Linked DNA regions of Mus musculus. The protein of the gene in region 1 interacts with the protein of each later gene in a biochemical or structural test. Links are inferred from orthologs where the notes say so. Each region holds a gene or a part of one and is shown on either strand. Other genes may lie near its edges. The genes, in order: Matk, Lrrk2, Sirpa and Erbb2.

Region 1 (5,217 bases):
CAGTTTGCATTCAGTGAGACTCGGAGAGCTGATATCCCCACAGCTGGGCACACCTGAGCATGTGCCTGCTCCAGCAGCTGCCCTAAGGCTGCATGAAGGACACCCCACTCCTGGTACTATTTACAGCCCTGCAAGCCACAGCCATCCCAGCCTTCATCAGAATACAGTCCCCCCCTAGGTTCCCTAGACTTGAGCCATGCTCCAGGACCTCCCTCTAGGGACAAGGAGTATGACTGCCCCTGTGGCCCGCCATGCCTCTGGGAGGGCCTTCCCCTTGCTGACCCACACAGAACAAAAGGCACAGAAATACAGAGAGGTTTGCACAGGTTCTGGAATCTTTCAGGGCTATAGTCTCCATAATCTTGTACTCTGCACAGACTTGCAGTTGCCTCTGAAAGCCCTCCCTCCCTTCCAAAGACCTCTAACCCCCACCCTACCGCCACTCTGAAGATTCAAGCAGGACAGACACCTCTCCACTGCGATTTTTGTCTCTGTGATTCCATAGCCCCCACTGGATAAGTGTGACAGGGTTGGAAGACGCAGGGGCTTAACCAAGCCAAGGCTGGGGTGTGAGGGTGAGCAATGAAATTAGGGGTGTGAGTCTGGGAGGTGGGAGTCTGCCTGGTGCGCACGAGGATGCTCCCTTCTGCAGTATGGCTCTCATACCCTTGGCGAGCTCCTCCTCTGCAGACTTTGCGCCCTGTTTCCTCCTTGGCTTCACCAGCTTGGTGCAGATGGCCCCCTTGTCCTTGGTGTAGTGCTGTGGAGGCCGCCGGCCATGAGCCTCTGCCCTGCAGGACCGCTCCCACCATCCCACCCCAAGTTTCAGTGAGGTTGCCAGACTCCTCCTCTAAGTGCCAGGCTAAGGTGATCGGGTTTCCATGGCAACAGTGGGGGTTGTAGAATGGAAACTGAGGGGTGGTTGGTGTGAACATAGAGCTCCCTGGGGAGGTGACCCCAGTTCTAGAGAAAGAAGTGACAGTTCCTGGGGCCACCATCCATATTTCCATCCCTCCTTCCCCAGCCTTGCCCCACACGTCACCTCCACCATGTCCATCAGGTTACAGAAACACACGGCCTCATCGATGGTGAGGTGCCCATCTCGATGCAAAACACGGTAGTGGATGACGTCACGGCCGAAACTGACACACAAGACATAGTCTCCAGGGTGACGAGCTGATTCCCTCACAAGGAACAGCCCGTCCTCGGGTGGCTGCAGCTGCTGTATGGCTTCCTGGCCGGAGATCTTGCCATGAAACCATCTGTAGGGATGTGTGTGGAGAGGGGGCTGTGTAAGGCAGGGGTAGAGGGGGCTGAGCCTCTCACACCACCCCCCAGGGTGCCACTCACGGCATGAGGCTGAGCTTGGGGTCTGTGGAGAGGGCCTCCCGCTGTCGCAGAGCAGCGGCCGCCAGCAGCCCTTCCTGCCCACTGCCATGGTGCTTGGCTCGGTACCAGCTCTTGTCCTGTACAGGAAGGGAACAGATGTGGGGAAGGAGCTGGTGGGTGTCGGCCCTGGCACCCCCAAGGCACACCACCTACCCTCCAGCTCCCCTCTCACCTCACAGGCCTCCAAGATGGTCACCATGTCACCCTTTCGAAAGGCTAGCTCACCGGGCTTGGGGCGAGAGTTCTCACACTTGGTCATGCATTGAGTCCCAGGGGCCCAGCGCTGCTGGGAAGGAGACAGAGGCAGAGGTATGTCAGGGACTGAACACAGGGACAAGTGGGAATTGGGAGGGACAGAGAGACCTGAGAGAAAGCTGGGGCTGGTGAGGATAGAAGACCGGACAAGGGAATAGTGAAGACACAGGCCTGTAGCCTAGCTCTCAGAAAGCTGAGCCAGGAGGACTCCAAACCAGCCAAAGGCCCATCCTGGGCTACAGTGAGACTTTGTCTCAAAAATTAAAAGATGATGATGCCAGGAGTGCTGGCCAACACTTGTAATCCCAGAACTCAGGGCAGGGGTGGGGGTAGCAGAGGAAAGTGGATCTCTGAGTTTGAGGCTAGCCTGGAGACTCTCAGGTCCCAAGCCAGGCATACCTACACATTGAGACCCTGTCTCAAGAATAAATTAAAATAAAGAATAGAGGCCTGGGGATAATGTCTAATACAGAAAGGAAGGGGGGAGGGAAACAGAGTTATAGAGAGAGGCAGAATTATAGTCACGTGAAGCCATTTTGGCGGGTGGGGGGAGAGGGGTCCTTGGGGACTGTCAGGTGTGGGTGCTTGCTCAAGTGGGGAGGGGCATGTTCCCCCCCAAAAGGGGACAGTTGAAAAGGTTTGGTGACTCAGGGCCCCACACTCACCGTTGGCATCCTAGCTGCAGCAGGCGCGGGGTGCCAAGCTCCGAACAATCTAGGGCTCACCTGTGAAGGAAGGCAGTGTCATGCTGGGAGTGTCCCCAGGTCCAGCTCTTTCCTCAGGGTCTGGCCTGGTGGCAGCAGCATCCAGGAAGCAAAGCGCCTCCCTCAAATCATCCCTTGGATGGCTTAGGTGTGGAGCCCCTCTGCAGCCCTTGGCTTTAGGGACAGTGATCATTACCCGAGGCAGGTCCCTAGATTCCCAGCCTTCAAAGGCCAGCCAGGAGACCCGGGAGCTTCGCCTTGCCATTGCTCGGGAAGGGAAACTGAGGCCCAGAGTCAGGAATGGAGTGATCTGGCCCAGGTGGCAGCCAGGGCTGTGTGTGAGAAAGAACTGGGCCTGTGGCTTCCTCTTTCCTGGGCGTGGGCAGAGGAGGCTGTGGGCAGGGGCCGTGACTCAAGGTCATTCCTGGGAATCTGACCCTAAGCGGAACCTGAGGAGGCCAGGCTCCCGTATAGCTCCTGGCTCCTCGGGTCGCAACGGGTCACCAAAGAAGCATCTTGAGGGGACCCACCCCATCCCAGCGCAGGCACTGCAGGGCTGCCCGGATCCCCGGCTGGTGGCTGGCAGGGGGGCAGGGCGGGAGGTTGGGGTGCGCTCCTGGCCTCAGACTCAGTGGGGTTTGCACGGCAGCCACGCAGGCGGAGGCGCACGTGCATCTGGGCACAGGTGCCACCAGCCACCCCCGTGTGTGCGACAAGGGCGCCAGTGAGACGCGTACACCTGTGCTGGTGCCTGTGGTGCACAAGGGCCCTGCAGTGACCACCGGGACTCGCGCACTCAGAGACTTGCACGCCGCACCCAGAAAAAAACCAAAATAAAACAAAAACCAGCCCGTTGCACCCGACGCCCCCGGGTCCAGGACCGTTTCGAGAGTGGTGTCCCCCTCCACCCACGCACACACGCTCACCTGCTTAGGGCGCGACCCTCGGAGGGTCCCTGCCAGCGGGTCGAGCACCCAGTGGCTCAACTCGGAGCAACTTGCAAGGCTTCCTCATTTTGGGGCAAGGATGGAGGGGACCCGGCTCGGAGCCCCCGCGGGTCCTAGCGCCGGTCTCACTAAGACCGCGCTGCCACCTCCTCCCGCTGCGCCTCCCACTCCGTCCGGGCAGAGTGCTGAGTACCAAGTGCCGGGTGCTCTCGGGTCCCCGCTGAATCCTAGCCTTCCTTCGCCCACCCTGGGAAAGCTGGGAGCGCGGAATGGCTCGGGCACGCGCGCAGGTGCTAGGAGTAGGAAGGAGCTCCCTGTCCGGGAAGGAGACCAAGGCAAGCTGCGGCCCTGCCTGGTCTGCCTGTACTTTCAGACATGCCAGCTGTGGAGCACTCAAACATCCTCCCAGCCCTCCGGAGGCAGAAGCAGGAGGATCTCTGTGAGTTGGAACCCTGCCTGGGCTAAAATAGAGAGCTACAGAGTAAGAACTTGCCTCAAAAAAAAAAAAAAAAAAAAAAAAAAAAAAAAAAAAGCAAATAAAACCCAATTAAGTAATTAAGCACGTTTGGGCAGAGGTGCCTAGAAGCACCCTGATGGACATGACACGGCCAGAAGCCACAGTCCTTAATCACAAGTCCCCAGGCAGATGCAGGTACCCACTGAGGAGTCCTTGGCCAGGGAGGCCCAGAGACTTGGAACCAAGGCAGCCCAAAGTTCCACTTTTCTCGGACCCTATTGCTGATGACAGTGTCTGAGTCACAGGCTCCCTCCCTCCTGTCACCATCAGCCACCACCCACACTGCCGGCAGATGCCCCACGGGTGCAGTAGTGGTCCAAGTGCTCTGCAGTAACCAACTGCTTTCTGACTCGCTCTGGCACGGGCCTAGCGAGACCTCCTCCAATTGTCTTACCAGTGGACTTTGTACAGATGTTTATTCTAGTACCTACAGTTAGCAAAGATCCAAAAGTGGGGACTGGGGCTCAATGGGTGACACACTGTGGTGTCACAGGCCTGTCACCTCAGCACTGGAGAGGCAGAAGCAGAAGGATCAGGAGTTAAGGTTATCCTCAGCTACGTAGTCAATTTAAGGCCAGCCTGGGCTACCTGAGAAGTATATGTGTTGAAACGGCACTGGCCCTTGGGGTTGAAGGACATAGCCTGCAATCCAAGCCTTGGGAGAAGCTGAGGCAGGAGCATGAGAAGATCAGGGTACAGAGGACATTTCCTTGTTTTTGTTTTTGTTTTTTTCAAGACAGTTTTTTTTTAAAAGATTTATTTATTATATGTAAGTACACTGTAGCTGTCTTCAGACACATCAGAAGAGTGCATCCAATCTCATTACGGATGGCTGTGAGCCACCATGTGGTTGCTGGGATTTGAACTCAGGACCTTCTGAAGAGCAGTCAGTGCTCTTACCTGCTGAGCCATCTCTCCAGCCCAAGACAGATCTTTTAAGAGAAGTGTTATTGTCAAGCTATAATGATGGTAGTGAGCCAGAGAGTTGTTTTAGTAGGGAAATCATTTGCTGCACACACGAGGGATCTGAGTTCAAAACCTTAAACTATGCAAAAATTCAGGTATAGTAGCTCATCTGTCATTGTAGCAAAGGGGAGGTTGAGACCCCAGCATCCCTGAAGCTCAGTGGCCACCAGTTTAGCACACCCGATGCATGGGAGGTTAAGTGAAAAAATCTGTCCAAAAACCAAAGTGGAAGCCAGGATTGTGGCCACAGCATTAGTCCCATGTGTCATGGAAGCAGAGGCAGGTGGATCTCTGAGTTTTAGGCCAGCCTGTTCCACAGAGTGAGTTCCAGGACAGCCAGAGCTACTCAGAGAAATCCTGTCTCGAAAAACCAAAACCAAAACAAACAAAAAACAACAACAAAAAAAGAAGTACAGCTCAGAGGAGACAGGGCATCCAT
Region 2 (4,778 bases), on another chromosome or scaffold:
AACCAAAGGTGAGAATTTAACACAGTTGGTAGATGGTGGCTGTGGATACAACCATTGTGATATCTCCCTCCCTGGTTGTTTAACACATATATGACAGTTTGAAATCCCAGGCACACCTAATTCTAGCTCACACATGCAGCTCAGGTATCCAGAGATGAAAAGCCCGTGCCAGGCAGGGGAAACTCCTTTTGGTGCTAAATTTATTCCTCTTATGGGGAGTGTTTCCCTTCCCATTTGGTAAAGTTTCACAAGCCTGCTTTTGGGGTGCCACACCCCACTGAAATATTTTTGTCATTAGGTCTGCATACATGGGGCAATTACTGTTTTCTAAATAAAATTAGTCATCTAACGAAGATACTAAAAAATTCCTTTGTGAAAAATATAGTCCACATGGTACCCTGATTTATTCACATTTAAGTGGAAAAAATATGAACAAGAATATGAACCAAAGCTTGGATAAAATTTAAAAGTTAGCAAAGATAACTGTGGACTTGGGAGTTCACTGTGCATCATTGCTCTAAGAATATAAATTTATTTAAAGAGTAAAAGCCAAGCCGGAAGCTGACAAGGGTGTGAAGCTTACAGTCAGCTTAAGCATTCATTTGACTTATTTGATGAAGAGTGAAATATACACTGTATGCACTTTCTCTTTTGCCTTAGATATAGTGAAAAGAGCTCTTGAGAGCTAAATTGGTTGCATCTGAGGTTGCCTGCCTCTCTCATGAGACTAAAAGCATCTATCCCTTCTAGTGTTAACTGGCCCTACTCAGAAGTTAGCCCAGTGATGGCTTCATCATGTGACCCTTGAAAGCACTACAATTTGCATCAGAATTCCCCTTAAAGAGATTTTACTTAAAAAAAATGGTATTTTTGTCATCATAAAAGGTATGGATTTAGCTGGGCGTGGTGGCGCACACCTTTAATCCCAGCACTCGGGAGGCAGAGGCAGGTGGATTTCTGAGTTCGAGGCCAGCCAGGTCTACAAAGTTGAGTTCCAGGACAGCCAGGGCTATATACAAACCCTGTCTTGAAAAATCAAAAACAAAAACAAAAACAAAAAACAGAACAAGTATGGATTTATCTAAAGAAAGAAACTTGCCTAATTGTGCTGTGGCCATGGCTCTCACAGAATCACAGAAATTGTGAATGGTGCGGATAACTCGCCGAGTAGAAAGATCCAGGAGTAAGATGTGGCCTCCTCCAGTTCCGATCCAGAGAGCCGTGTTCTTCTGCAGGCAGAGGGCCTTCACCCTCCCAGAGTAGGACAGCTGATGTTTCGATTCCTTGTTTAGTTTTACCATCACCTCCCTAGAACCATAAAGAAAGTATTTACTCAACGTTCTAATGGCACTGAAGAGACTTGAAAGATTTACCCAGGCATGCACAGCTTACTAAATTTTAAACCATGGCGGCGTCAAGGCAGTCATATTGGAAGTCTGAACACAGGTTCCCTGGCTTTAGTTACCAAAATCACAGGAATTATGATTCTTTATTTAAAAACAGCACAGCCTTTTCAGGAAGCTTCCATCCGTCCTCCCTCCAACTTTAAACAACTCATTGTACTGATGTAATGTGAATTCTGTGTAAATAGCTTTTATGCTGTATTGTTTAGGGATTAATGACAGGAACAGAGCATGCACGTACATATTCAGTAACCATGCAAGCATCAGGGTCTACACTGGAAGGAAAACCTGGAAAAATGGAAGGCTGGCTTTATGCTCTGGGTAGAGTTCAAGACTGCAGAGTTCAATTGTTTAACACAAAAAGCCAGGAAGCACATTCCTTTGCTTGAAGCACAAGTTTTCAAAGATATTGATGATTGCCATAACCTCTCAACTTTAGGAAATTCTTAAGTGAATTAGATGGATATTCATTGTTTTGTAATGAATGTTATAACTTGTAAATATTTACTATAAATACAATGAAATTTCCGTGTTAATATAAAGGAATTAGCTTCAATGCTCTCTGTGAAATCTGAAAATTACAAAAGAAAAATAAGTCACTTATATTCAAACATATAGATATATAGATGATGTAGACTATACCTATATAAGATTGATAGACAGACAGACAGACAGACAGACAGACAGATAGAGATAGAGAGATAGAGAGATAGAGAGATGAGATGAGATGAGATGAGATGAGATGAGATGAGATGAGATGAGATGAGATGGGATGAGATGATATAGAGATATATGTGTAAGAAAATACATAGGATGTATTAACAAAGAGTAAACTTTCTTCAAAATATTTTTTTTTAATTTCCCTAGAAGACAGGAATAAACAAAAGCCACAATTCCTTTCTCTGTGGACCCTGACTTGTAAAACCAGAGGTAGAGTAACCAATTCATTTACTTTAAGAAGTGCACACAGTCTATTAATTCACAGAGCTTTTCTGTTTTCTTGTCCCACACCTCTACGACAGGGCTGTTTTTCTTGGCAATATACAGGGCTGTGTCTACTGCCAGCGCTATGATGTTAGAATCGCTGAAAGCTGCGTAAGAAAACCTGAGGGGGAAGAAAGATAGAAAAAAATATATTCAGAAAGTTAACGCTATTTGCAAAATCAAACAAGTTGTGCTATCGTAATTATAATACATTTTTCTCTCAACCCAGTTGAATGACTTGGCTACTTAACCCATTCTGGTTAACTGGTTTGGGCTGTACTTGACCACAGAATAAACGGTACAATTTTGCAGCTTAGGTCAACCTGATTCTGTATGGAATTTTACACGACCTCTTAAATCCTCAAAGAAATATGGTGTCTGTAAGTTTTAGACATGTCAACAGAATCCTTGTTGCCATGAGTGTTGGGGAAACCTGAGAACTGGCTCTTTGTACCTAGAATTAAAAAGACGTGGAGATAAATTACAGTGGCAATGTCTCCAAACATCAAAGAACCCCCTAGCTTTGTAAATGTAAGTCAGTCAAATATGAAAAAAAAAAAAACCTTCCACAAAGATTCAAATGAGTACAACGTTAACAGAGCTTGAGAAATTAGATACTTGTTATTTATTCTCCTTGAAAACAGAAGAAAATAGAAAGCATTTTCAAATATTGCTCTTTTAACCTAACACATAAGTGTCACGTATAGCTCACAAGCAGATTAGAGACTGTAGGCCCCATCTGCATGGCATGCTCCAGGCTCACCTTAATGTCAGCTTCTCTGGAATTCTTCCCTGATCTCTGGGAGAGAACAGGCCAGCTGTTTCCTTCCCCCTAATTGCATAGCTATAATCTTTCTCATAGTCCTATTAAACATAAAGTCTCACTCATTAGTGTATCCCCCACACTAGACTGTCAATATAACTTCCTAAAAACAAATGCCAATCTCTCCTATATGTCCACAATTCAGTGCACCATTATCATACATAGCGAAGTGTGTGTGCTGTGCTGGCCCATTTGATTCACTGAGTGGACAGAAGGATGGATCAACAAAGAATGAACTAGCAAGGTTGAATGGGCACCTGGAAAAAAGTGAGGAACTTCAAATTTGTGATTGACTTAGACAGAATATATAGAAATGTCAGGGGAATTGAAAAAAATCAATATTTCTTTTAATAGGCAGGAGGGTTTTTTCCCTCCATTTTTTCTTTCTGTTCTTTAAGGAAGATGAAAATATCCCCTCCTGCCAGAGAGCCATTGTTTTCATTGATTTTGCTCAAGTGTTTGCTGAGTCTTCAATAAAGACTTCCGTGAGAATGAACATAAACACATGGTTTTAGAACCACGCAACAGTTTCGTGTGTTGTCTTGTGTTGATCCTTAACCATAAAATTACATCCCTGCAGGCATAATCCAATGATACAGACGTCACCTAGCACTCACAGGGCCCCACGTTCTGTCCTACCATAAGAAATGCAAATAAATTTATAAAAAAAGATGAATCTCAGTGCCTAGATATGCAAAAAGAATACATCTTACAAATGGTAAATAATTCACTCCCAGGCCACATGACTGGCATGTTGCAGAACAGAGACACAAAACAAGTCTCAGACTCTAAAAGCAGACATTTTTCAGGACTACATGTGTCTTCCAGTCATGGAACACAGCACTAACTATAGGGTACTGTAATGACGCTGTCCCTGATCAGTGCTCTTACCTCTGTGTGTGTGGAGAGCACAGCAGTAAATACCCTTAGAACAAGGCAACTGTTTCCCTGTGCCTTATGTGATGTGAGTCTTCATCTCTCTAGGAAAATGAACTCCTGGGTGAGGCTGCTCTTCATGGCTGTTTTCCATCCACACAAGGTACCAATACATACCCACAATGCCATCAAATGCTCTATATCAAATGGATGTCTCTGCTTCTAAAATATTTAAGGATTGTATACTTCTCTAAAAAGTGAATATCACAGAAAAAGGAGGCTATCCAAATACTTACACATGCTAGTAAACACATAAATATTGCAAAACTACCACTCATCTGTACTGACTTGTAATATACTGGAGTATATCTTAATGATGATTATGCTTTAGAATCATCTAATACCATAATACATTAAAGCATTGAAACTGAAGCCAGAATCCTCTTAGTTGTCTTGATTTCATTGGCCCGAAGCAAGGCCTGGGCATGAGACTGACTGAGCTCCCTAGCAATTTTTGATCACCGCTCATGGAGAACCACTGTGAACAATGGAATTAAGATATTACATTAAAAAGCAGTAGGGTAACTGCTGTGAAGGAAAGGCCTGGAGCAGTGAAAGCACAAAGAGAAGCCAGGGAACTTCCCTGGGTGGAAGGAGAGCAGCCACACAGGAGGCAGCATTTGGACGGAAGC
Region 3 (4,778 bases), on another chromosome or scaffold:
TGGAACTCCTGAAGCACCTTTGAAGGAGGAGTGGAAAGGCGGCCCCTGTTCTCTCCCCTTCAGAGGCTCTGCTATGTACACAGCATCAGCTGTAGAGCCGACAAACATTGAGACAGTGCTAAAGAGCTGTTGCCACGTGGCCACTTTCAAAAGAAGAGCTCTGGATTGACGGCACACTGGAGGGGCTGAGGTGGCACTGCTGACATGTCAACTGTCACAGGATGTGGAGCATGGCAGCTGTCCTAGACACACACACCTTGGCCTAGGAATAGTCACAGGATGACTGTCCCAGGGAGATGGCCACTAGGAGAAGGTATGAACAAGGATACTCTTTGCAGTACTGGCTGTCCCTGAGCCAGATCGCCAGCCTCTATGAGACATTAAAGGAGGGACAAGCGATGGCACAGCAAGGAGCAGAGGCCAGAAAGAGTGAGAGTAGGGGAGGGGCCATGGGGATAGAACAACTGTTAGGAGGAAAAAGCAGGAGGCAGGAGGCAAGCAAAGACAGACTCCGTCTCCCTTTCCTCCTCTCTGATACACTGTGTCATCAGACCTATCCAGACAGGAGCCAAACTCTTACCAGTGCTGAATCTAGGAGCACAAATGCTGGAGAAGCAGTTCCCATTTTAAAACTGTGTTTATGCTTATAAACTTCTAGACTTCTCTATAATAAGCATGATATAATAACTTTAACATTGAAAAACAGATAAAATCATGATAAAGATTCAAAAAAAAAAAAAAAAAGGAAAAAGAAAAAAAGACCAATCAGCGGGAGTGGAGGCCTCACCAGGGAAGGTTTGCATGCTCCCTTGATCACTCGAGTGGGCAAATCCCAGCACGGTATGGTTTCGGGTGATCGCTGGCTGTTGGTCGTGCTTCACCTGGCACGTGAACACCACGTCCTCTCTATGAGCAGATGAGTTCACCAGGAACAAGCTTGTGTAATTATAGGTCCCATCCGTGTTCTTTGTGAGATTCTTGGGCGTGTCATTCCGTGATACGTTTCCATTCTCCAGCCAGATCAGCTGGAGATCCTCGGGGTAGAACCTCTCAGCCCGGCAGGTGAGGTTCACCTGGTTCATTGACGTCGGGGACTGTTGGGTGACCTTCACGGTGGGTGAAACTGAAACAGTACAGGCAAAAGCTCTAACCTTAAGCTGCACTGTGATCCCAGGGAGGGGCTGCAGAGCTGAGCCTCTCCCACCATCACAGCAAACAAACAAGACTACTAGGCATGCATTGCGTACTCAGGCAGTGTGGGTCTCATACAAATGGAATCACTAAGCACAGCACCCAGAACACAAACGGTGCCTTGTCTGGGAACTGGTAGCATTAAGCACAGTACCCAGAATACAAACGGTGCCTTGTCTGGGAACTGGTAGCTACTGGTATGGTGATAATGAATGATGTCAATGCATGCAGTACCTAAAACAAAATAAATGAAAACTACCAGGCAAAGGGGGCGTGGCTCACACTGGGTACCCAGGAATTATAGTTGCCATTGAAATGCAACTACCAGCATGGTGCTAGTCATAGGGTAATGGCTGCTGTGAACTTGGGCTAGAAGTCAAGGACATCTACCTCGGATGAAGTTAGACAGGTTAGCAATCCCACGAAGAGGGCTTCTATCCAAGGTGATGTGGGCTACCTCGCAGATGACCTTAGAATTAACATCCATGGAGTTTAGTACCACCCTGACTGTGCTGGAGATGTTGTAGGAGACATTCTTTCCACTAGGGTTCACGGTGGTCTCCAAGGGGTGGAGTTCTTGCCCATCTTTGAACCACTTCAGGGTGATATTCCGGGGAGAGAAGCCATGAGACTTGCAGGTGAAGTTCACTTTCTGGTCAGGTATGCCCCTGTCTGCTGGGCCGGATACCTCCGGTGGAGAAGGTTTGGCTAAAGGAGCATTTATAGACAAGAAATATGATTGTGATGGCCAAGCAAATGAACTGGTGGTGTAAGTCGTCTGCCTAGATACTGTCATCACACTGGAACATGGGGGATTGGCCCCAGGGCTTTATGCACACTCAGTGCATATTCTACTACTAAACCGTATGGCGTCTCTAGACTGGTGACACTATTCATTAATCTCCCTCCTGATGAAGCTGGAATGACCATGTCCTTAGCCTTCTATCTGGGGAGGATGCAGAGGTTTCATGAAATGGAGGGGTCAGTCAGGCAGTAAGGCAAGGCCAGGAACTCCAGGCCCGAGGTCTAAATCTTCTCTGCTTCAGGGATTTCCAAGATTGCTGACCTATCTCATTCTTTAACTACTTTTAACTGCATTCCTGGAAACTCTGCCAACTTAGAGAAAAGTGTTTGCAGAAGTAAACACAGGAAACAAATAACACTGTAGGATCCCAGTGGCTGCTCTGAGATGTTTACACTGCCCAGAGCCACGCATATGAAATGGGAGGCAAGGTTTCTGCTCTCTGGACGCGGTGAGGAAGAGATGAGGCCCTGGAGGCTTCCTGCTTCAGATGACTGACAGACACACAGAGATGCTCCTCAACAAGACACACAGATCTGACCTTGACCTGGATATTTATTTAAAAAAATTTTTAATGTGTCTGTGTATATGAGTGAGTTCCTTAAGAGAGCAGAGAGGACACTGGATCCCCTGGAGCTGTGGTCGCAGGCGGTTGTGAGTCACCCAGCCGCGTGGGTGCTGGGAATTGAACTAAGATCCTTGGTAAGCGCAGTACAAGCTCCTCAATCAGTGAGCCTCTCTCCAGCCCTACACTTTATTCTTACATCCTCCCTGTAAGAACTTGGGAATTCACTACGTGGGTTTTCCTCTTCTCTCTCTACAACCTAGTAGGCTTTTCCCAGGCCAAGTCCCATATTTGAAAGAGAGAGGCTAAAGGGAATTTTTGCTTTCAATCTGGAGAGCTTTTGTTTATAGAGTTGGAAACAAAGATCACTTCTATGTTAAGAAAGCCAAAGGTGGCTCTTGATTTCTAATTAGTAAAGAGACAGCAGCGAGCAGCCCCACCAAGCAAGCAGACACGCTTCTTCTGGTCCTGAATGGACTCATGGGTGACTAGGAGGGAGGCAGTGTCCCTTGGGGATTAATCCAAACTGCTCATAAGCAACCAGCATCACTTCCAGACAGCAAACACAACACGTTTCCATCTGCCAACACATACTTGCTCCCTAATATCCGCCTAATATGTCGAGGGCACAGAAAGGAGGTGTCACTTGAAGAAGTCAAGTCATCAGGACACCAGCAGCAGTGAAGAGCCATCCGTCAGGCCCTGGGGACTCCCTGTGCTTAAATCTAACCCAACTGCAAATGTAAAATATTGTTGAAAAAGCTGCATCTGTACTGAATAGTAACAGACTTTTTCTTGTCACTATTCCCTAAACAACACATAGAACAACTATTTACATAGCATTTGCATCGTATTAAGTATTATAAGAAACCCAGAGATGATTTAAAATAGATGGCAGGATGTGTGTAGGTTACACGCAAATCTCCCCCATCCTGGATGAGGGCCTTAAGCATCTTTGGATTTGGGTATCCTACAGATACCAGGAAAAAGCTGAAGTCACCATCTATTGAGTTCTTAGAGCCTGGCACTGGCTGCTCTCTCTGTGCCCATGATGGGGTAGTTAGGGTGAACTCCTTCTGTAGGACAAGGCTCAGAGGAGAGTGGGACTAGCCAAAAGCATAGTGGGTGGGTTTCAACTCTTCCACTGAGATAACTAATTTAGTACTTAAAAAATATTTATCTTCTGGGGCCTGGAGAGATGGCCCAGTGGTTAAGAACACTGACCATTTGTCTTAGTCAGGGTTTCTATTCCTGCACAAACCTCAGGACCAAGAAACAAGTTGGGGAAGAAAGGGTTTATTCGGCTTACATTTCCATACTGCTGTTGATCACCAAAGGATGCAGGACTGGAACTCAAGCAGGTCAGAAAGCAGGAGCTGATGCAGAGGCCATGGAGGGATGTTCTTTACTGGCTTGCTCAGCCTGCTCTCTTATAGAACCCAAGACAACCAGCCCAGAGATGGTCCCACCCACAAGGGGCCTTTCCTCTTGATCACTAATTGAGAAAATGCCTTACAGTTGGATCTCATGGAGGCATTTCCTCAACTGAAGCTCCTTTCTCTGTGATAACTCCAGCTGTGTCAAGTTGACACAAAACTAGCCAATACAACTGACCCCTTGTCAACTTGACACACAAACACATCACTAGTAAGCCTCAACCCTTACATTCTTATTCATCCCCAAGGTCTAAATAACTTTAAATGTCCCACAGTCTTTACATATTCTTAAAATTTCAATCTCTTTAAAATATCCATCTCTTTTAAAAATCCAAAGTCTTTTTAAATTAAAAGTCTCTTAACTGTGGGCATCACTAAAACAGTTTCTTCCTTCAAGAGGGAAAATATCAGGGCACAGTCACAATCAAAAGCAAAAATCAATCTCCAACCGTTCAATGTCTGGGATCCAACTCACGATCTTCTGGGCTCCTCCAAGGGCTTGGGTCACTTCTCCAGCCATGCCCTTTGTAGCACACGCGTCATCCTCTAGGCTCCAGATGCCTCTACTCCACTGCTGCTGCTGCTCTTGGTGGTCATCTCATGGTACTGGCATCTCCAAAACACTGCATGACCCCTTCAGTCCTGGGCCATCAATTGCAACTGAGGCTGCACTTTCACCAATGGCCTTCCATGGCCTCTCACAGTGCCAAGCCTCAGCTGCTCTGCTCAACTCCTTCATGCCTTCAAAACCAGTACCACCTGGGTGACCCTTACATATTACCAA
Region 4 (4,778 bases), on another chromosome or scaffold:
ACGTGCCTCAGTCCTAGTGGGGTGTCCTGCTCCCAGGATATTCACCTGGGGCCTCCTCCCTTGCAGGCTGAGCTTCCCTCAGTCTTCAGAACCAAGAGAGCCAGGCCAGGTAAGGAATACCCACTGGACCCTACAGTCTGTCAGGGCAGTCAGGGTCTGTAATCCTCTGGGGCTGAACAGTGTGCTGTCTCTTCCGGCCAGGCGGGGCCCTCTTAACCACTCAGGATTGAAGCATCGAGCGAGGTTCCTCAGGGCACGTTCCTGGCATAGCCGGCTGCCCTGGATGTCATGTGGCCAGAGGACCTTCTCCCTGCTTTGTGGCGGGCGATGGAGACCACAAGTTAGGCCTTCCTTCCCCACTCTGAAGACAGAGGATGTCTGCACATGTGACCTCATACTGGCACATCCAGGCCTAGGTACTCAGGGTTCTCTGCAGTGGGGGTCCCTTCAAAGGTACTTGGTGGAGGACCCTGCTCCGATGAGTTCTGGTCCCAGTAATAGAGGTTGTCAAAGGCTGGGCTGAAGGCAGGAGAAGGGTGGGGCTGAGAGGCAGTGCCTGCTCTGGGTGCTAAGTATTCAGGGTTCTCCACAGCACCCCCAAAGGCAAAAACGTCTTTGACAACCCCATTTTTCCCAGGAGAGAGAGTCTTGGGTCTTTCTAGAGTAGCACCAGCAGGTCGGATGGGAGGCGGAGGACCCTCTGGGGTCAAGGGAGACTGAGGCCGAACCTCTGGCTGGTTCACATACTCTGAGGAGAGAAGAGATGTTGTTAGGGAAAGGGTCCAAGATATTCCTGCCCCATCATTGCCCCTCAGTGGGTGTAGCCTGAGGGTTCTCAACTCCCCTCTCCTCCCAATCTCTCGGGCCTGGATTTCATACCGGGCTGGGGGCTGCAGGCCAGGGGAGCAACGTAGCCATCAGTCTCGGGGGGCAGAGGTAATGTGGGATCCTCACTGTACCGCTGTAGAGGGCTGAGGTCATGTGGAGAGAGGCTCTGCAGTCCTTTGGTTACCCCCACTGCCAGGTCACCATCAAACACATCGGAGCCAGCCCCTTCGGAGGGAGCCAGTGGAGATCTGGGGGGCTCTTCTTCCGAGGGCTCCAGGCCCAGTGTCAGCTCACCACCGCCACTCTGGGGTAAGAGAAGGTCATGATGGGAGCTACTCAAAAGTCTGCGAGGGGAACAACGGGGTCCCAGGAGAGAAACACAGGTCACGATGGTGGCAGTGATGGAGAGAGTGGGGCCCCAAGGGTTGGAAAGCAGCCATGGTAATGGAATCTTCAGGAAAGGTGAGGGTGGGGGAGCTCAAAGGGCAGGACCATCCCTATTCCGAGGTGGGCACTGACCCTGGCCGACGAGCTGCGGTGTCTGCGGTGGGCTGTGCTCCCAGTACCTAGGGCAGGGTCTGGGGAGAAGAATCCCTGCTGGGGTACCAGGTACTCTTCAGCATCGACCAGCTCCCCCATGTCATCATCCTCCAGCAGTGAACGGTAGAAGGTGCTGTCCATGGGGCTGGAGGGGCCTAAGTCCTCGTTCTAGGAAGGAAGGGGAGACACGAGGTGACAGCCCTCCCAGCCTGGTGTTTAGTTCCCTGGAAGGGTTCACCGAGCTTTGGCTAGAGGCAGGGGCTATCCCTGCAGGAGGGAGGATGCTGTCAGAGCAGGTATGGTGTGGGAAAGCCCAGTACCTGGATGACCACAAAGCGCTGGGGGTCCCTTGCCATACGGGAGAATTCTGATACCAACTCCCGGAATCTCGGGCGACATTCGGAGTCAATCATCCAACCTAAGGCGGAAAAAAGTTCAGCATCCTTGTCCCAGGACCAGCCTGGCCTAGACAACCCTGGCTAAGCTGAAAGCCCTCCCGTGGCAGAGCACAACTGGACTCTGGGATCTTGAGGCAGAACCCTGGAGCGTTTCTAGGGTCCCCTTTTAGACTGGCCTCTCTCCTCTCCACAGATGTCCTCTGGCAGGACTTCCACTGTGAATAGGTAAGGCACCTTTGAGGCTCCCTCCAGGACACCTCCCATTTATCCCCCAGCCTGTAAGCGCCCGCACACAGGTCTACCACCCTTCCTCTCTGCCTGCCTGAGGCTCAGCCCTGCCACGCACATTTGACCATGATCATGTAGACGTCGATGGTGCAGATTGGAGGCTGAGGTAGGCGTTCTCCCTTCTCCAGCAAATCAGGGATCTCCCGAGCTGGGATCCCATCGTAAGGTTTGGCCCCAAAGGTCATCAGCTCCCACACAGTCACACCTAGGACAGACAGGCGTCAGGAGTCGGGGGACAGAGGAAGTCTGGGTGTGCAAAGGGAGGGGCTGTGCCAAGAGGTGGGGTCTACCCAGTCTCCTCACTCCCCAGGTGGCCATAAGACTGCACTGGGTAGACATAGACAACCTTCCTCCCCTTCCTCCTATCCCCACCCTCATTCTTCTGCCTGCATCCCACCCTGCCCAGCAACGCATCTACAGCCTCCACACACCATAGCTCCACACATCACTCTGATGGGTGAACCGGCGTCTGAGAATAGATTCCAATGCCATCCACTTGATGGGCACCTGGGGATGCAGAGTAAGAAGTCCTGACTGGGTGTGGTAGGGAGGTGACCCTTTTCCACGTTATCCCAAAGAAAGGTCAGATACCAATCCAGCCCGCCCCACCTCTCCCTCCTCCTCTCCCTCCTCCAACCTTGCCCCCATCTGCATGGTATTCAGTCTCATCAATGTCCAGCAGCCGTGCCAGCCCGAAGTCGGTAATCTTGACGTGGTTGGGACTCTTGACTAGCACGTTTCGGGCAGCTAGGTCCCTGTGAACAAGCCGAACTTCCTCCAGGTAGCTCATCCCCTGGACAAAGGGCATCCGTGTGGCACGTGAGTCTACATCACACCTTAGGGGTACTCCCACCTCATCCTGGCCCCGAATGAAGGCAGGGATTTGCACCCAAAAGATCTGCAGAGCCAGCAACCCCCAAAGCACATACCTTGGCAATCTGAACACACCAGTTGAGCAGGTCCTGGGAGCCTAAGCGACCTCGGTGTTCTCGGACATGGTCCAGAAGGCAGCCATAGGGCATAAGCTGTGTCACCAGCTGCACTGTGGATGTCAGGCAGATGCCCAGGAGGCGGGACACATATGGAGAACCCACACCAGCCATGACGTACGCTTCCTGCAGACAAGGGAACAGAGGGATACAGGAAACCATCAACTTCCATCCACTCTACTCTCCCAGAGACCCTCACCCTCCCTCACTGGCTACAGCCAGGGCCTCCAGACTAGGAAGATGAAGAGTCAAACCCCAATGAGGAAAAAGCAGCCCAGATCTGCACCTAGGAGCTCCTCACATTCTCAAGGGAGAGGGTAAAAAAAACAAAAACGGGGGGTGATCTTCACAATCCCAAGGAGGAGGTTAAAGGGGGGCTCCTCACATTCCCAAGGGGGAGGGTAAGGGGGGAGGGCTCCTCACATTCCCAAGGGGGAGGGTAAGGGGGGAGGGCTCCTCACATTCCCAAGGGGGAGGGTAAGGGGGGAGGGCTTCCCTAGCGGGGGGGGGGGGGGCTTACATCTAGGATTTCTTTGTTAGCTTTAGGAGATGTGTTTTCCCTCAACACCTTGATGGCCACGGGGATTTTCACGTTCTCCCCATCTGGGATCCAGATGCCCTGAGCGAAAAGAAAGGGACTAGAGTCAGGCCCCCATTAAGACACTGAGGAGTAGCCGTCCCCAGCCTCCAGCTTGGCCCACTCCAGTCTCTTGACCATGCCCCTCCCCCAGATCCACCCATGCCAGAACTGGTCCTCTCCTGACCTTGTAGACAGTGCCGAAGGCTCCTGACCCAAGCACCTTCAGCTTCCTTAGCTCTGTCTCCTTTAGGATCCGCATCTGAGCCTGGTTGGGCACAGCTCCACTGGGCGTCAGCGGCTCCACCAGCTGGAGCGAGAGGGTGGTAGGGTGAATGCCCAGCTAGCTGCAAAGCCAAGGGGGTGCTAGGAGGCCCTCGGCACGCCTCACCTCGGTCTCCTGCAGCAGCCTACGCATGGTATACTTCCGGATCTTCTGTCGCCTTCGTTTGATTAGGATTCCAATGACCACCACTATGATCAGGAACAACAGGACGCCCACCACAGTTGCAATGATGAATGTCACTGGGCTGGAAACAAGAGCCAGAATCAGAGACTGGGGACTAGTTTGAGGAGGAAGCTTGAAGAGAACCCATGAAAGGACAGGAATGTCCCTTGGCTCAAAAACTTCACAGGAGATAACCCACCTTGTTAATCTGCACTGTGCAGCCCACCCCAGGGGCTTCTGCCTCATATGAAATGGGGTCCAGTTATATGTACCCCAAAACTCTCAGGTACTAGCCAAAGCATTCTTCAAGGAGCCATGGTTTCCCCTGCCTTGCAGCAGTTGCACCTAAGTTCTCAGGACCCGTGTTTCTCCATGATATAATCGTCTATGATTCTGCTTATCTTGGGGCACACAGGGTCCCTGATAGTCACCAGACCATTATTTGTTGGTATACTTAGTCTTGAGGCTACCTCACGATATAGCCCAGACTGGCTCTGAACTTACAAGCCATGTGCCTCAGTCTCCTAAGTGCTGGGGTCACAAGGTGTCTGCCACCATGTCGAGGCAGAACACATTCTTGTCACCCTTGCTTCCTTAATCCCCATCTTGCTCTGCACAAGGCCTGTTGTTACAGCCAGCGTCCAGTGTTTGCCTCACAGGCAAGCAGCAGCTTCTTAGAGCACACCCTAGACTGCTTTTCTCCCTTCTAA

What was found.
Region 2: the proteins of Matk (region 1) and Lrrk2 interact on a protein array, tested with the Homo sapiens proteins (2 studies listed by BioGRID and IntAct, with this or other methods). The link is inferred for Mus musculus from reciprocal best matches to the Homo sapiens genes MATK and LRRK2.
Region 3: the proteins of Matk (region 1) and Sirpa form a complex in vitro, tested with the Homo sapiens proteins (3 studies listed by BioGRID, with this or other methods). The link is inferred for Mus musculus from reciprocal best matches to the Homo sapiens genes MATK and SIRPA.
Region 4: the proteins of Matk (region 1) and Erbb2 form a complex in vitro, tested with the Homo sapiens proteins (2 studies listed by BioGRID and IntAct, with this or other methods). The link is inferred for Mus musculus from reciprocal best matches to the Homo sapiens genes MATK and ERBB2.

What each region holds. Positions count from the first base shown.
Region 1 is NC_000076.6:81,255,632-81,260,848, reverse strand, and holds the start of Matk (megakaryocyte-associated tyrosine-protein kinase), read right to left. Parts: upstream 3,551-5,217; 5' UTR 3,275-3,550; intron 3,020-3,274; exon of another isoform or gene 2,879-3,019; intron 2,809-2,878; exon of another isoform or gene 2,614-2,808; coding exon of another isoform or gene 2,545-2,613; intron 2,370-2,544; coding exon of another isoform or gene 2,319-2,369; coding exon 2,310-2,318; intron 1,676-2,309; coding exon of another isoform or gene 1,673-1,675; coding exon 1,562-1,672; intron 1,467-1,561; coding exon 1,351-1,466; intron 1,263-1,350; coding exon 1,043-1,262; intron 761-1,042; coding exon 667-760; intron 1-666.
Region 2 is NC_000081.6:91,808,722-91,813,499, reverse strand, and holds part of Lrrk2 (leucine-rich repeat serine/threonine-protein kinase 2), read right to left. Parts: intron 2,509-4,778; coding exon 2,356-2,508; intron 1,309-2,355; coding exon 1,100-1,308; intron 1-1,099. UniProt on the Homo sapiens protein: Serine/threonine-protein kinase which phosphorylates a broad range of proteins involved in multiple processes such as neuronal plasticity, innate immunity, autophagy, and vesicle trafficking.
Region 3 is NC_000068.7:129,612,568-129,617,345, reverse strand, and holds part of Sirpa (tyrosine-protein phosphatase non-receptor type substrate 1 isoform 1 precursor), read right to left. Parts: intron 1,900-4,778; coding exon 1,582-1,899; intron 1,124-1,581; coding exon 788-1,123; intron 1-787. UniProt on the Homo sapiens protein: Immunoglobulin-like cell surface receptor for CD47. Acts as docking protein and induces translocation of PTPN6, PTPN11 and other binding partners from the cytosol to the plasma membrane.
Region 4 is NC_000077.6:98,432,283-98,437,060, reverse strand, and holds part of Erbb2 (receptor tyrosine-protein kinase erbB-2 precursor), read right to left. Parts: intron 4,151-4,778; coding exon 4,012-4,150; intron 3,931-4,011; coding exon 3,808-3,930; intron 3,663-3,807; coding exon 3,564-3,662; intron 3,170-3,563; coding exon 2,984-3,169; intron 2,848-2,983; coding exon 2,692-2,847; intron 2,562-2,691; coding exon 2,486-2,561; intron 2,260-2,485; coding exon 2,113-2,259; intron 1,787-2,112; coding exon 1,689-1,786; intron 1,537-1,688; coding exon 1,348-1,536; intron 1,133-1,347; coding exon 880-1,132; intron 749-879; coding exon 393-748; 3' UTR 1-392. UniProt on the Homo sapiens protein: Protein tyrosine kinase that is part of several cell surface receptor complexes, but that apparently needs a coreceptor for ligand binding. Essential component of a neuregulin-receptor complex, although neuregulins do not interact with it alone.